3 linked regions of the Caenorhabditis elegans genome follow. The protein of the gene in region 1 interacts with the protein of each later gene in a pairwise test. Each region holds a gene or a part of one and is shown in the gene's direction. Other genes may lie near its edges.

The links.
Region 2: the proteins of fem-2 (region 1) and C32D5.8 interact in a two-hybrid assay, tested with the Caenorhabditis elegans proteins (one large-scale study listed by BioGRID).
Region 3: the proteins of fem-2 (region 1) and ule-1 interact in a two-hybrid assay, tested with the Caenorhabditis elegans proteins (one large-scale study listed by BioGRID).

What each region holds. Positions count from the first base shown.
Region 1 is NC_003281.10:632,795-636,547, reverse strand, and holds the start of fem-2 (Protein phosphatase fem-2), read left to right. Parts: upstream 1-1,921; 5' UTR 1,922-1,975; coding exon 1,976-2,014; intron 2,015-2,068; coding exon 2,069-2,408; intron 2,409-2,819; coding exon 2,820-3,016; intron 3,017-3,066; coding exon 3,067-3,676; intron 3,677-3,753. Other genes in the region: eakr-4 (EAK-4 Related), read left to right, coding at 381-506, 855-953, 1,008-1,067, 1,128-1,250, 1,308-1,655. UniProt on the Caenorhabditis elegans protein: Dephosphorylates auto-phosphorylated Ca(2+)/calmodulin-dependent protein kinase unc-43/CAMKII in vitro. Involved in the regulation of sex determination.
Region 2 is NC_003280.10:6,344,067-6,347,819, reverse strand, and holds the start of C32D5.8 (protein-disulfide reductase), read left to right. Parts: upstream 1-1,897; 5' UTR 1,898-1,908; coding exon 1,909-1,981; intron 1,982-2,304; exon of another isoform or gene 2,305-2,462; coding exon of another isoform or gene 2,463-2,737; intron 2,738-2,785; coding exon of another isoform or gene 2,786-2,892; intron 2,893-2,935; coding exon of another isoform or gene 2,936-3,089; intron 3,090-3,204; coding exon of another isoform or gene 3,205-3,436; intron 3,437-3,497; coding exon of another isoform or gene 3,498-3,512; exon of another isoform or gene 3,513-3,748; intron 3,749-3,753. Other genes in the region: Protein lgg-1, read left to right, coding at 134-421, 474-557; txt-18 (transcellular chaperone signaling (x)cross tissue), read right to left, coding at 2,463-2,737, 2,786-2,892, 2,936-3,089, 3,205-3,436, 3,498-3,512.
Region 3 is NC_003279.8:2,220,278-2,224,030, reverse strand, and holds the start of ule-1 (Chitin-binding type-2 domain-containing protein), read left to right. Parts: upstream 1-1,717; 5' UTR 1,718-1,737; coding exon 1,738-1,789; intron 1,790-1,830; coding exon 1,831-1,949; intron 1,950-3,102; coding exon 3,103-3,472; intron 3,473-3,753. Other genes in the region: Receptor-type guanylate cyclase gcy-17, read left to right, coding at 304-402, 461-678.

The sequences.
Region 1 (3,753 bases):
CAAAAACTTTTTGTGTCAGGTTTTCAGAAATCATTATTGCTTTTAAATGAAAAGTGTTAATCTTACAAATTTTTGAGAAAAACAATTTGGAAAAAAACCCCAGGAACATGATTTGAAGGCTAGAAAACTAATTCTCTAAGTTTCCCCGGCTCGAAAAAAATTCGTTCAATATTTATTTTCCATCACTTTGCATAATTTACAGTACTCACCAGGCCAGCGAAATTCATGAAATTGTACAATTTTCTTGTTGTTTTTCCAACAAAATTTAAAAATAACCCGGACTAGTCGAAAACAAGGCAGTCGTGGGGTACTGTAAATTAGGCGGCCTACCAAGTTGAGCCTTCGCCAAGTAATCCTCTATTTCCCTGTCACAACCGATAATGGGGCAATGTCTTGGAACCCTGTGCACTGTAGATTCAGCTACAGATAATATTTCCAGCGTCTATCAGCTGGCAGGCCCAGTTGCGGTGAAAGAGAGCCCACGTATTGCTGAACGGGACCCAAAGGTAATATTTTTCGTTTTTTTTTCAGAGTCTTATGTTTTCAATCTTTTTTGCTGAGAAACCTTCGAAAAAAAAAACAAATCTAAGCTTAAGTCTAAACCTAAGCCTATGCCTGGAGACACAAGCCTAAGCCTACGCATAAGCCTAGGCCTAAACCTAAGCCTACACCTAAGCTTAAGCCTAAAGGTTAGCCTAAGACTAAGCTCACACCTAAGCCTAAGACTCAGCCAAAGCCTAAGACTCAGCCTAGGCCTCAGCCAAAGCCTACGCCTAAGTCTATGCCAATTTCTAAGTCTATGCCTTTGACAATACCTAAACGTATGCCTATACCTAAGCTCAAGAAATTTTCAGGTCAAAATCTCTGTGAATCCCGAGGAGGAAAATGTTGAACGCCCCTGTGTACTTTACTCGAAAAGTAACGAGATTATCAAAAAACCGGATATTTTTGAGGTGAGAATATTCTTAATCACGGGCACGGATTTTCTCAAATTTATAAATTTTTAGGAAATCTACAAGCGCACACCGATCACCCTCTCGAATAACGGTAGAATTGACGTTGCCGAGGTTTTTTAAACATATTTTTTTCAAAATTACATTTATCAAGAACTGAATTAATGAATTCAGCTTCCCGCCGGACAACGAGTCATTGAAGTAGAGAACAACGAGGTTCGCGACAAGTATAAAAAAACGTTGTACGAGATTCGGAGAAAATGCAGGGAACTTCAGAATTTGGGTGCTGAGGATGAGGTAGGCGGCCTTCAATGGCGTTTGAGTTAACTCAAGAAAAATCTGCGATTTTTCCAGGAAACCGGTGAAATCATCGATACTCTTCTTATTCTTTACAAGGACTTCTTCTTACTAACCACGTGGAAAATCGATAAGTACGCCCAGTTGAGAAAAAATGCCGCAGTTCAAGCTTACAACTCGCTACCCAAGCTTAGAGCCGACCCCGCTGAATTCCGATGCCACGTGGAGTTTCAGTATCGCGTGGCAAATGAGCTATGGGAGCATTTCAAGGAGACATATATCCACAAATATGAAGCATGTAATTGGGCGGAGAGGGCGAAAGTGAAGGAATGGGATCTTTTGGACAGCCAAGTACAGACGCCGAATGTGGAGTGGGATTATCTTGGCGCGCATGGATATATATGAATAATTGATTTTTATTTTAAATTTTTGATCCATTTTTGATTTGATAAAAATGTTATTAATACAATACAATGCGAATTAAATTAATATTTCGCGCGAGAAACGCGCCAACGCACCGAAAGTGCGCAAACGAGAAGCTTTGCGCGTTTCTGGTGCAGAAAATTCTGCATTATTTTTTTGTTGATTTTTCCTCATTTTGTGTTGAAATCCATTGTTTTTTCTCGGTTTTTCTCTGATTTTTATGTTAAAAACAATTATTGAAATGTCAGATCAACCCAGCTGTCCCACCGAAGCCGGTAGTGGTTTTAAAACTGGAAAAATACATGGAAAAAGTAAACGAGGAGCGGGATGCGGTTTTCGAGGTAGAAAACGGGATTTTATATATTTAATGCTAGTTAGAAAAATGTATATTCCAGGATCACATCGGCGATCGCCGTCGAAGTGTCCGGTCACTTCTGGAGGAGGCATTTGCAGATGAAATGGAGAAAACTAGCTATGACGTCGAGGTTGCCGACACTCCACAACCGCATATTCCAATACGTTTCCGTCATCCACCAATCGCCGGACCAGTTCATGATGTTTTCGGAGACGCGATTCACGACATTTTCCAGAAAATGATGAAAAGAGGCCAGGCGGTCGACTTTTGTCACTGGGTGTCTCACTTGATCGCCACAGAAATTGACGAGAAATTCAGTGAAGTTGCGTTCAGAGATGTTCAGTATAATCCTGATATTTATGTTACCGATAGTACCACAGGTAATTATTAAATGTGCAAAATCTGCTATTAATTTAGCAGACCAAGCATGGGCCTGCTAAATATTCAGCAGGCCTATCCCCATTGGTCTGCTAAATATTTAGCATACCTAACTTGGGTCTGCTAAATATTTAGCAGACCCATCCCCATTGGTCTGCTAATTATTTAGCAGACCAACTATGGGTCTGCTAATTATTTAGCAGACCACCTATGGGTCTGCTAAATATTTAGCATACCTACCATGAGTCTGCTAAATATTTAGCAGACCTATCCTCATTGGTCTGCTAAATATTTTTAGCTGGCCATTCCCCATTGATCTGCTAATTTTTGCAAAAATAAAACTTGTTAAATAGAATTTTTAAAAAATCTTCAAAAACTCAACACTTCTGTTCATCAATACAACTTATTTTCAGAAGCCAAAAAGCTATTCAACGACAAAATTTGGCCGGCGATCGACAAGATTCTCCAGCAAAACGCCGAAACGTGCCCGATTCTGTCTGAAAAGTGGTCTGGAATCCACGTGTCGGGCGATCAACTGAAAGGGCAACGTCACAAGCAAGAAGATCGGTTTTTGGCGTATCCTAATGGGCAATATATGGATCGTGGAGAGGTTTAGGAGGATTTTAGGCCTGGAAAATTACTGAAAAATGAAATTTTTAGGATCCAATTTCGGTGTTAGCGGTGTTCGATGGTCACGGTGGTCACGAGTGCTCTCAGTACGCAGCCGGGCACCTTTGGGAGACATGGTTGGAGGTTCGAAAATCGCGAGATCCTTCAGATAGCCTCGAAGATCAGCTTCGCAAGTCGCTGGAGCTTCTCGACGAACGAATGACTGTCAGAAGTGTGAAAGAGTGTTGGAAGGGTGGAAGTACAGCTGTCTGCTGTGCAATCGACATGGATCAGAAGCTTATGGCGCTGGCGTGGCTCGGTGACTCACCCGGATACGTCATGTCGAACATTGAATTCCGTCAGTTGACACGTGGACACTCGCCATCCGATGAACGGGAAGCTCGGCGTGTTGAGGAAGCTGGCGGCCAGCTTTTTGTGATTGGAGGCGAATTGCGGGTGAACGGAGTTCTAAATCTCACCCGAGCACTCGGAGATGTTCCTGGACGGCCGATGATCTCTAATGAACCGGAAACGTGTCAGGTGCCTATTGAAAGCTCGGATTATCTGGTGCTCCTGGCTTGTGATGGAATTTCTGATGTTTTCAACGAGCGTGACCTGTACCAGTTGGTGGAGGCATTTGCGAATGATTATCCTGTTGAAGGTTAATAAAAATTCTTGGAGAAAAACTAAATTTCCAAAGCCAAAAACTATTTTTTCGTTTTTTTTTTCTGAAAAAAA
Region 2 (3,753 bases), on another chromosome or scaffold:
ACCCATGTGATGTCACCTTCATTCACTCTCACTTGTTACACCTTTCTTCTCTCATGGTTCTTTTATGATTTTTCTGTGATTTAAAGTATTTTTATTCCAGTAACCTTCTCTTCACACTAACCTTCGAATCAAAATGAAGTGGGCTTACAAGGAGGAGAACAACTTTGAGAAGCGTCGTGCCGAAGGAGACAAGATCCGCAGAAAGTACCCAGACCGTATTCCAGTGATTGTTGAGAAAGCACCAAAGTCAAAGCTCCATGACTTGGATAAGAAGAAGTACTTGGTCCCATCCGATCTTACTGTTGGACAGTTCTACTTCCTCATCAGAAAACGCATCCAACTTCGTCCAGAAGATGCTCTGTTCTTCTTTGTCAACAATGTCATTCCACAAACCATGACCACAATGGGACAACTCTACCAGGTAACTAACCAGTCGTTTATTTTCATTTAATTAACCCTTTTCTTTATTACAGGACCATCACGAGGAAGACTTGTTCCTTTACATCGCCTACAGTGACGAAAGTGTGTATGGAGGAGAGGTCGAAAAGAAGGAATAAAGTGTCATGTATTATCCGCCGACGAATGTGTATACTTGTACAATGGAAATTTCATACTTCTAATGGAAACCCAAAGCCCCTTTAAAAAAATCTTCTCATTTTCTGTAATAATTCTGTATTTCCTTCACATTTTCTTCTCATTTTTCTCGTATGACGGTTCCGAGTAGTGACTTCTATTCAAACTATTGTCTACGAAGTTGCTCTTCTCCCCTCCCAGAAAATCATGTTTTCTCTCGGATTTTGATATTTTTTTGCTATTACTTTCAAATTTTTGATTCATGAATAAACGAAGAAGACACAAACAAATTCATGTTCATGCTCATCGTTATTTTCGGCCAGCGAATGGAATACCTCCAACAGTTAGCAATACACATTGCGAAATCACTTTTTCATCTGTATAGAATTGACGTCACATTTGTATTACGTAAACATCATTGTAGATTTCTGAACAAAGTATAGAGAAAAATGAGAATTTTATTTCGAAAATGGTGACACACTTTTGGCAAAAAGGCTCTTTGTATCCATTAGTCATCTGTCAAATGACAGTTTATTCTAGTTGTCATCGTCTGAAAATGTCATAAGAGGGCTCAAACGTTGACTTAGGAATCATTTTTGATTCGATTCTGGCATATTTTATCATTTTCGAGACACAATTTTGGTACTACCCATTTGCAGAAGTTTGAGATTTTCAATGCGAAAATACGGTAGCCGGTCTCGGCACGATGGAAACTTTTCAGCTACCGCACCCAAAAGTGTTTCGCAATTTTCACCTGTATCTGTTGTAATAGTTTCACTTAAAATTCCACATTTTTAAAGGAAAAACCGATACATTTTTGGAAAATTGTAGGAGATCATGAAAAATTAAAAACAAATACTTGCGGATACGGTATTTAAATAGTTTTGGCCGTTTCGAGACCGAGTACTGTAGGCTAACTCTAAAAAAATCTGCAAAATTTTCAAGATGTATAATTAAATACATATTTTTGAGATTAAAAAAAGAGTCTCGTTTCTCTACATCTTACTATTGTAAATCTACGAGTCGCCGCTGCTTCCCAGTCAAATCGATTCTATAATTACACCTTCTCCTTTTCCCTTTTTCCTCTATCCATTTTCTCGTTGTTTTCCCTTCGTTGCTATTAGAAACTGGCATGGCTTTATTCATAAAGTGGTGTTTATACTCTTTTTTTTTCTATTTTTCTGCCTTTTTGAATTCATCACGTGTATGTTCTGCCATCTCTTCTTCTTCTTATTTTTTTCAATTTGATCGCAAAATTCGATCGAAAACGTGACCTTTACCTTTTGAACGGTGTATTCGTTATCTCATCGGTTTCCCCATCATTACTTGACTGTGATGGGGAACACGGCGAATTCGAATTCGAAACAACCAGCAACGAGTGCCGCGCAGATGTCGGTCGACCCAAAAGGTAGTGAAACACTGAAAAATTTGGCAAGTTTCTCAGCAGGTGACCTGATAAACACGAAAGTTGTTTCGTTGCGATCGGGTATTATACGTTTACTTTTTGATTAGTTGTACATGGTTGGTTGGTTAACATGGTTGGTTAACCAACCACCACGTCATCTTATTTTTTAGATATCAATTCCATAGTGTACGATGAAAGTCAGTCGAAAGTATAAGCCCAGTTTAGCATTCAAGTAAATTTTTCAATAACTAAGATACCGTTTTTATATGCTCACTAATGTTTCTTATATAGATCACACAATCAGAAGATATTCGGAGCATTTCGTAGTAACCTGTTCATTCCATGAAAAAAGTATTTGCGATCAAAAATTCAGTGGTTTCATATAGGAGAGACCATGATCATGAATAAACAAACAAGAGTGTCTCGCTTTCTAGTCATAGACTATCACTTCCAATCTATACTCTTTTTTATCATTCCTTTCAATTTATTTACTTTCTTCTTTCAACCTAGACTTTTCTTCTTCGATAAACTGGAATAATCGAACTTTGTGAAGCATCAACTTGTCGTTTGGCACATCTTCTAAAAAGTTTGTTACATAGGCTATGATGTCTGCGTGTTTTTCAGAAGTTGGTAGATTTGCTGTTGAGTTAGGTGTTTTTGCAGAGCAGGTTGAAGGAGCCGAAGAATTCAATTGTATACTTGTACAACTTGTAGATTGCTGACATGTAACCGTATCTATAACTTTTTGAAGCCAGTCATCTGAAAAATTACTTGTAATTTACATACACTTTAAATCACAGTTCAGACCATTCAACTTGTCTTCTGATAGCTCATGCTCAATCTTTGGCTTTTTTGCTTTTACTTGTTGATCATCGGCTTCTGCATTGCAAGTCGTTAATGTCAATTTTGACAAGCTGGAAAAAGGTTTCCGTTTCGGAAATCTAGATCATTTCATACCTGTCTGTTTTTTCCAAATAAGGAATAAGGAATTGTAGACAATCGTAGAACGGAACTATAGACTTGGACTTCTCATCATTCTTATCACCACCATTTCTAATCATTTTTTCAAAATCATTGAATAGGTATAACCATAACTTTTCGGCGTTTCTACCTGTAAGTTGATGTGGTGTTCATAAACATGTTTATTCCTGTTCACATGTTTACAGTCCAAATCAAAAACAGTCTTTCTCTTTTCGTAAATCACATTTTCAAAACTAAAAACTAACCTTTCCTCATTGCAAGAAAATGTCCACATTTTTTCTCTATAATATAAAACGCTTTCTGTCGAAAATCACTATTCTTCTTGCACGGACTGTATAATTCTTCTCTTCCAGAAAACAATGATATGAAAAAGTCGATGTCAGATCTTCTATACGCGTCATAATGTGAGAAAGGAGGGATCTTTGATGGTCGACCCATTTTTCGTTTCTGCTCCGCTGAGCCAAACTCTAGTAAATCCTAAATTTTTTTGATTTGGAAAACCACGTGAAAAACGTAGATCCTAGCTTTTCAGACTTACTATGAACTTCTCCATATTTTCAAAGCGGTAGAGACCAAATATTAGAAATAAAAGTGGAGAAACTTATGAAAATCGGGATCGCCAGATGTTATTAGAAAGTGAAGAAATGCTAAGAAAATATATGAAAGTGCGCAAAATTTGAGACGCAGATTTTAGAGCGTCGAGAAAAAGACTCGTTTCGAGCGACCCAGTTCAAAATCTCCAATTATTGTAAACTATTTCCTCCCTTCTCCAACATCTCTCTCAGTTTTGTCAG
Region 3 (3,753 bases), on another chromosome or scaffold:
CGCCAAGGCCTAAGCTTAAGCCTAAGTCTAAGCCTAAGCCTAAGTCTAAGCTTAATCCTACGCCCAAGCATGAGCCTAAGCCTGTATTTGGTAAAAAAAGCTAGTATGAACCTTTCAGATTTTTTAATTTCTCTCAAAAATTGGCAAATATTGAATTTTGAAATTCGTGCGAAAACTTTAAAATTTTCGATCAATTTAGTTATCCGAAAAAATTATACCTTCAAAAAAATTAAATTTTAACTTTCGCGCTAAAATATTTTTCGGTCATGACGTCATTTCTCTTCCACCTCCCCTAAACTTCAGGTTCCGTAGTTGCCGGAGTCGTTGGCTTAACCATGCCTAGATACTGCCTATTTGGAGATGCAGTTAACACAGCAAGCAGGATGGAGAGTAATGGAAAACGTAGGTTTTGCTACGTGGCCGTGAAAAATGAGAAACTCGGCCACCAATTTTTTTTCAGCCGGCAGAATCCACGTATCATCGGAGGCAAATCATCTGCTAACACACGTGGTTGGAGGGTTCCGAACCGAAGAAAGAGGCGAGGTGATAATTAAGGGAAAAGGTGTTATGAATACGTATTGGCTGCTGGGAGAAAACGATTCGGTGCCTGTCAAGTCTAATATGAGGAAACGGGAAAATACTCCGTCGATGGCGAGAAGTATTACACCGGAAATTTGATTTTTTTAATTTCATTTTGGATTTTTAAAATAAAGGTTTTTTTAACTGTAGATACTGTAGAGGTACTGTAGAGGCATTGTAGGGTTACTGTAGAGGTACTGTAGGGTTACTGTAGGGATATAGTATGGTTAGAACCACATCAGTGCAGGGGTATGTGATGGGGGATATGGTTACTGTTGGATACTGTAGGGTTACGGTAGGGTTACCGAAAGGGTACTGTAGTATTACGCTAGGGAATTCTGTAGGGGTACTGGGGGGTTACTGTAAGTTCACTGTATAGCTACTGTAGGGTTACTGTAGGGAAAGATTTGGGGTAATGTAGGATAACTATAGAGTTACGGTAGAGGTATTATAGAGTTATGTTAGGGAGCACTGAAGGGGTACTGTAGAATTGCTGTTGGGTTACTGTATAGGTACTTTTAGATTACTGTCAGAGTGATGTGTGGTTACTGTAGGGTTATTGTAAAAGTACTGTAGGATTGGTGTGGGTTACGGTAGGAAATACTGTAGAGTGGGAACTTTGAGTTGACGCCTCCCGTTGAGGTCCTCTATGATCACTGTTTAGTTACTGTACGGGTACCGTAGGGTTACTGTAAGACTTCTGTGAAAATATCGTGAAGTTATGTCATAGATGGGCTTCTGTAAGGATACTGCGGGGGTCTTTGAAAAAATGGGTACAGAAAAATGGTAATTTTCAGCTTACTGTATGGTTACTGTAAGATTTATTGTAGAATCAAAACTTGCATAGGCTTTGAGGGTACTGTACAAATTACTAATAACAACTCAGGCTGCTCATATATGGAAGTATAGAAGATGGGAAACCAGCACAGCAAAATTTTGATTTTTTGAAATTTTCTGAGCAGAAGCTGGAAAATTTCAATTCCGAGACGTCCATCTGATGACGAATCGTCTGAAATTTCAATTCAATAGCATCAATTACTCATAAATTTTCAATTTTTCTTCATGCCCAATACATTTTTCAAACAATTGTCTTTTGTTCAATTTGTGTGCTATAAAACCTTCTCGAGCTATCACCAAAATTCATTCAATCATCGAAAAATGCTCTTCTTCCTCATTTTTCTGGGTCTGATGGCCACTGCTTCAGCAAAAGGTAAGACTTTTTAGATTTTTATTTGAAAAAAAACTTTTCAGCGGGCCGCTGCAACGAAGGTGACCAGGACGCTCATTTTGATTCGAACAAATTCTGGAAATGTGAGGGTGGGCGGTGGATTGTTGTAACTTGTCAGATTAACTATTTTTATGATGCTACAGTAAGTATTTTATTCTGGGGCTTTGGCCTAGGTGTAGGTTTGGGGCTTAGGCTTAGGCTTAGGCTTATGCTTAGGCTCAGCCTGGGAGTAGGGTATCTTCAACTAAACGTTGTCAGAAGATTCGCCAGTTTTTCTAAAACATTTTTTTTCAAAAAATGCACAAAATTCCGATTTTCCAGAATTTTTTAAAAATCCCGAAAAAATGTATTCATGGTGCATCGACTTTTTTTTTTGAAATTTCACCGGAAAATGTAGAGTTTTCGTGAACAATTCTAGAAAAACAGGCTTTCAGAATTTGCAGATAAATAGTGCAAAAAATTAGATTTTTATGGGTAGTTCTAGAAAAACGGGCGGTAAAGAAAATTCATACATTAAAAAAAAGAGCCTGAAAATATAGAAATTTGTGCTTTTTTGTTGGAAATTTGTCAGCCAAATCTGAATTTTTTGCATTTTCTATTCAAAAAGTGCAGAAAATTTCGATTTTTTAGCTTTTAAATTTTTTATTAAATCATGGTGCATTGACTCGGAATTTTTTGAAAATTCACGGAAAAATGTAGAGTTTTCGAGTAAAATTCTAGGAAAACAGGTCTGCATAATTGGTAGATAATTTGTGCAAAAAAATTAGATTTTTATGGATAATTCAGGAAAATCATTTTCTCTGAAAACTAAAAAAAAATAGTTTTTATTAATCACGGGGTTCTGGCCTTCCTCATTGAATTTTTCGCGCTCCATTGACAATCGCCTGCCGGACTGGGAAAGTCGTGTACTCCACACGGACAAATACATTTAGTTTTACAATTAAAATCGAGCCGCGACGCGACACGTAACGCGCCGTAAATCTACCCCAGATATGGCCGAGCCAAAATGGCCTAGTTCGGCAAAAACTCTTCCATTTCAATTTATGAGGGAAGCCAGAAATCCGTGATTAATCATGGTGCATCGAAAAATTTTAATTTGAAAATTCGCCAAAATTCGCTAAAAATTTGAATTTTCAGAGAAAACTTCAGAAATTCACAGATTTTTTCTCAAAAATGTTTCACCAGATTTTCTAAAACTTTTTTTTTTTCACTTTCGCGTCAAATTTTCTGAAAATGCAACTTCTACCCAAGGCTCACATTGAGGCTCCGCCTATAAAATGGTTCAAAATTTCCAGACTGGCTTCTGCTACCTGTCCCGATTCCCAACTACCCGTCCTTACCCACCACCATTCCCGACTCGCCCCCGACCAACTCAGGGCCACCGCTGCTACCCTGGCACTAGAATCCCGTACCCACATGACCATACCATGTTCCTCGAGTGTTCAACTGATGGAACAGAGTATATTAAAAGATATTGCCAGCCTGATGCGGTTTTCGTGCAACGGGAGAACATGTGTGTGGCCATTCAGACCACGTACCGCCCGACGAGAACATGGCCGACGACTACAACTACTCCATACTATGGTGCATGCAAGGAATCTGCCGGTCATGATGGGTATAAGCCGGATGTTTACAATTGCAAGAATTTCTATCAGTGTGCTTCAGGTAAGAGGCTCCTACAGTACCCTCAAAGCCTATTCGGTACTCTTACAGTAATCTTAGAGTAGCATCAATTTTGGTTCTACAGTAAATCTTACAGTAACCCTACAGTAAGCTGAAAATTACCATTTTTCTTACCGTTTTTTAAGGCTTCTGCAGTATCTTTACAGAAATCTTACAGTAACCCTACTAACTATAGGTATAACGGCAAATTTGTTGTCGACAATTCGTCAAATTTTGTCGGTTTCCCGGAAATGTTATTTTCGGCAATTTGCAGGTTTGTAGGA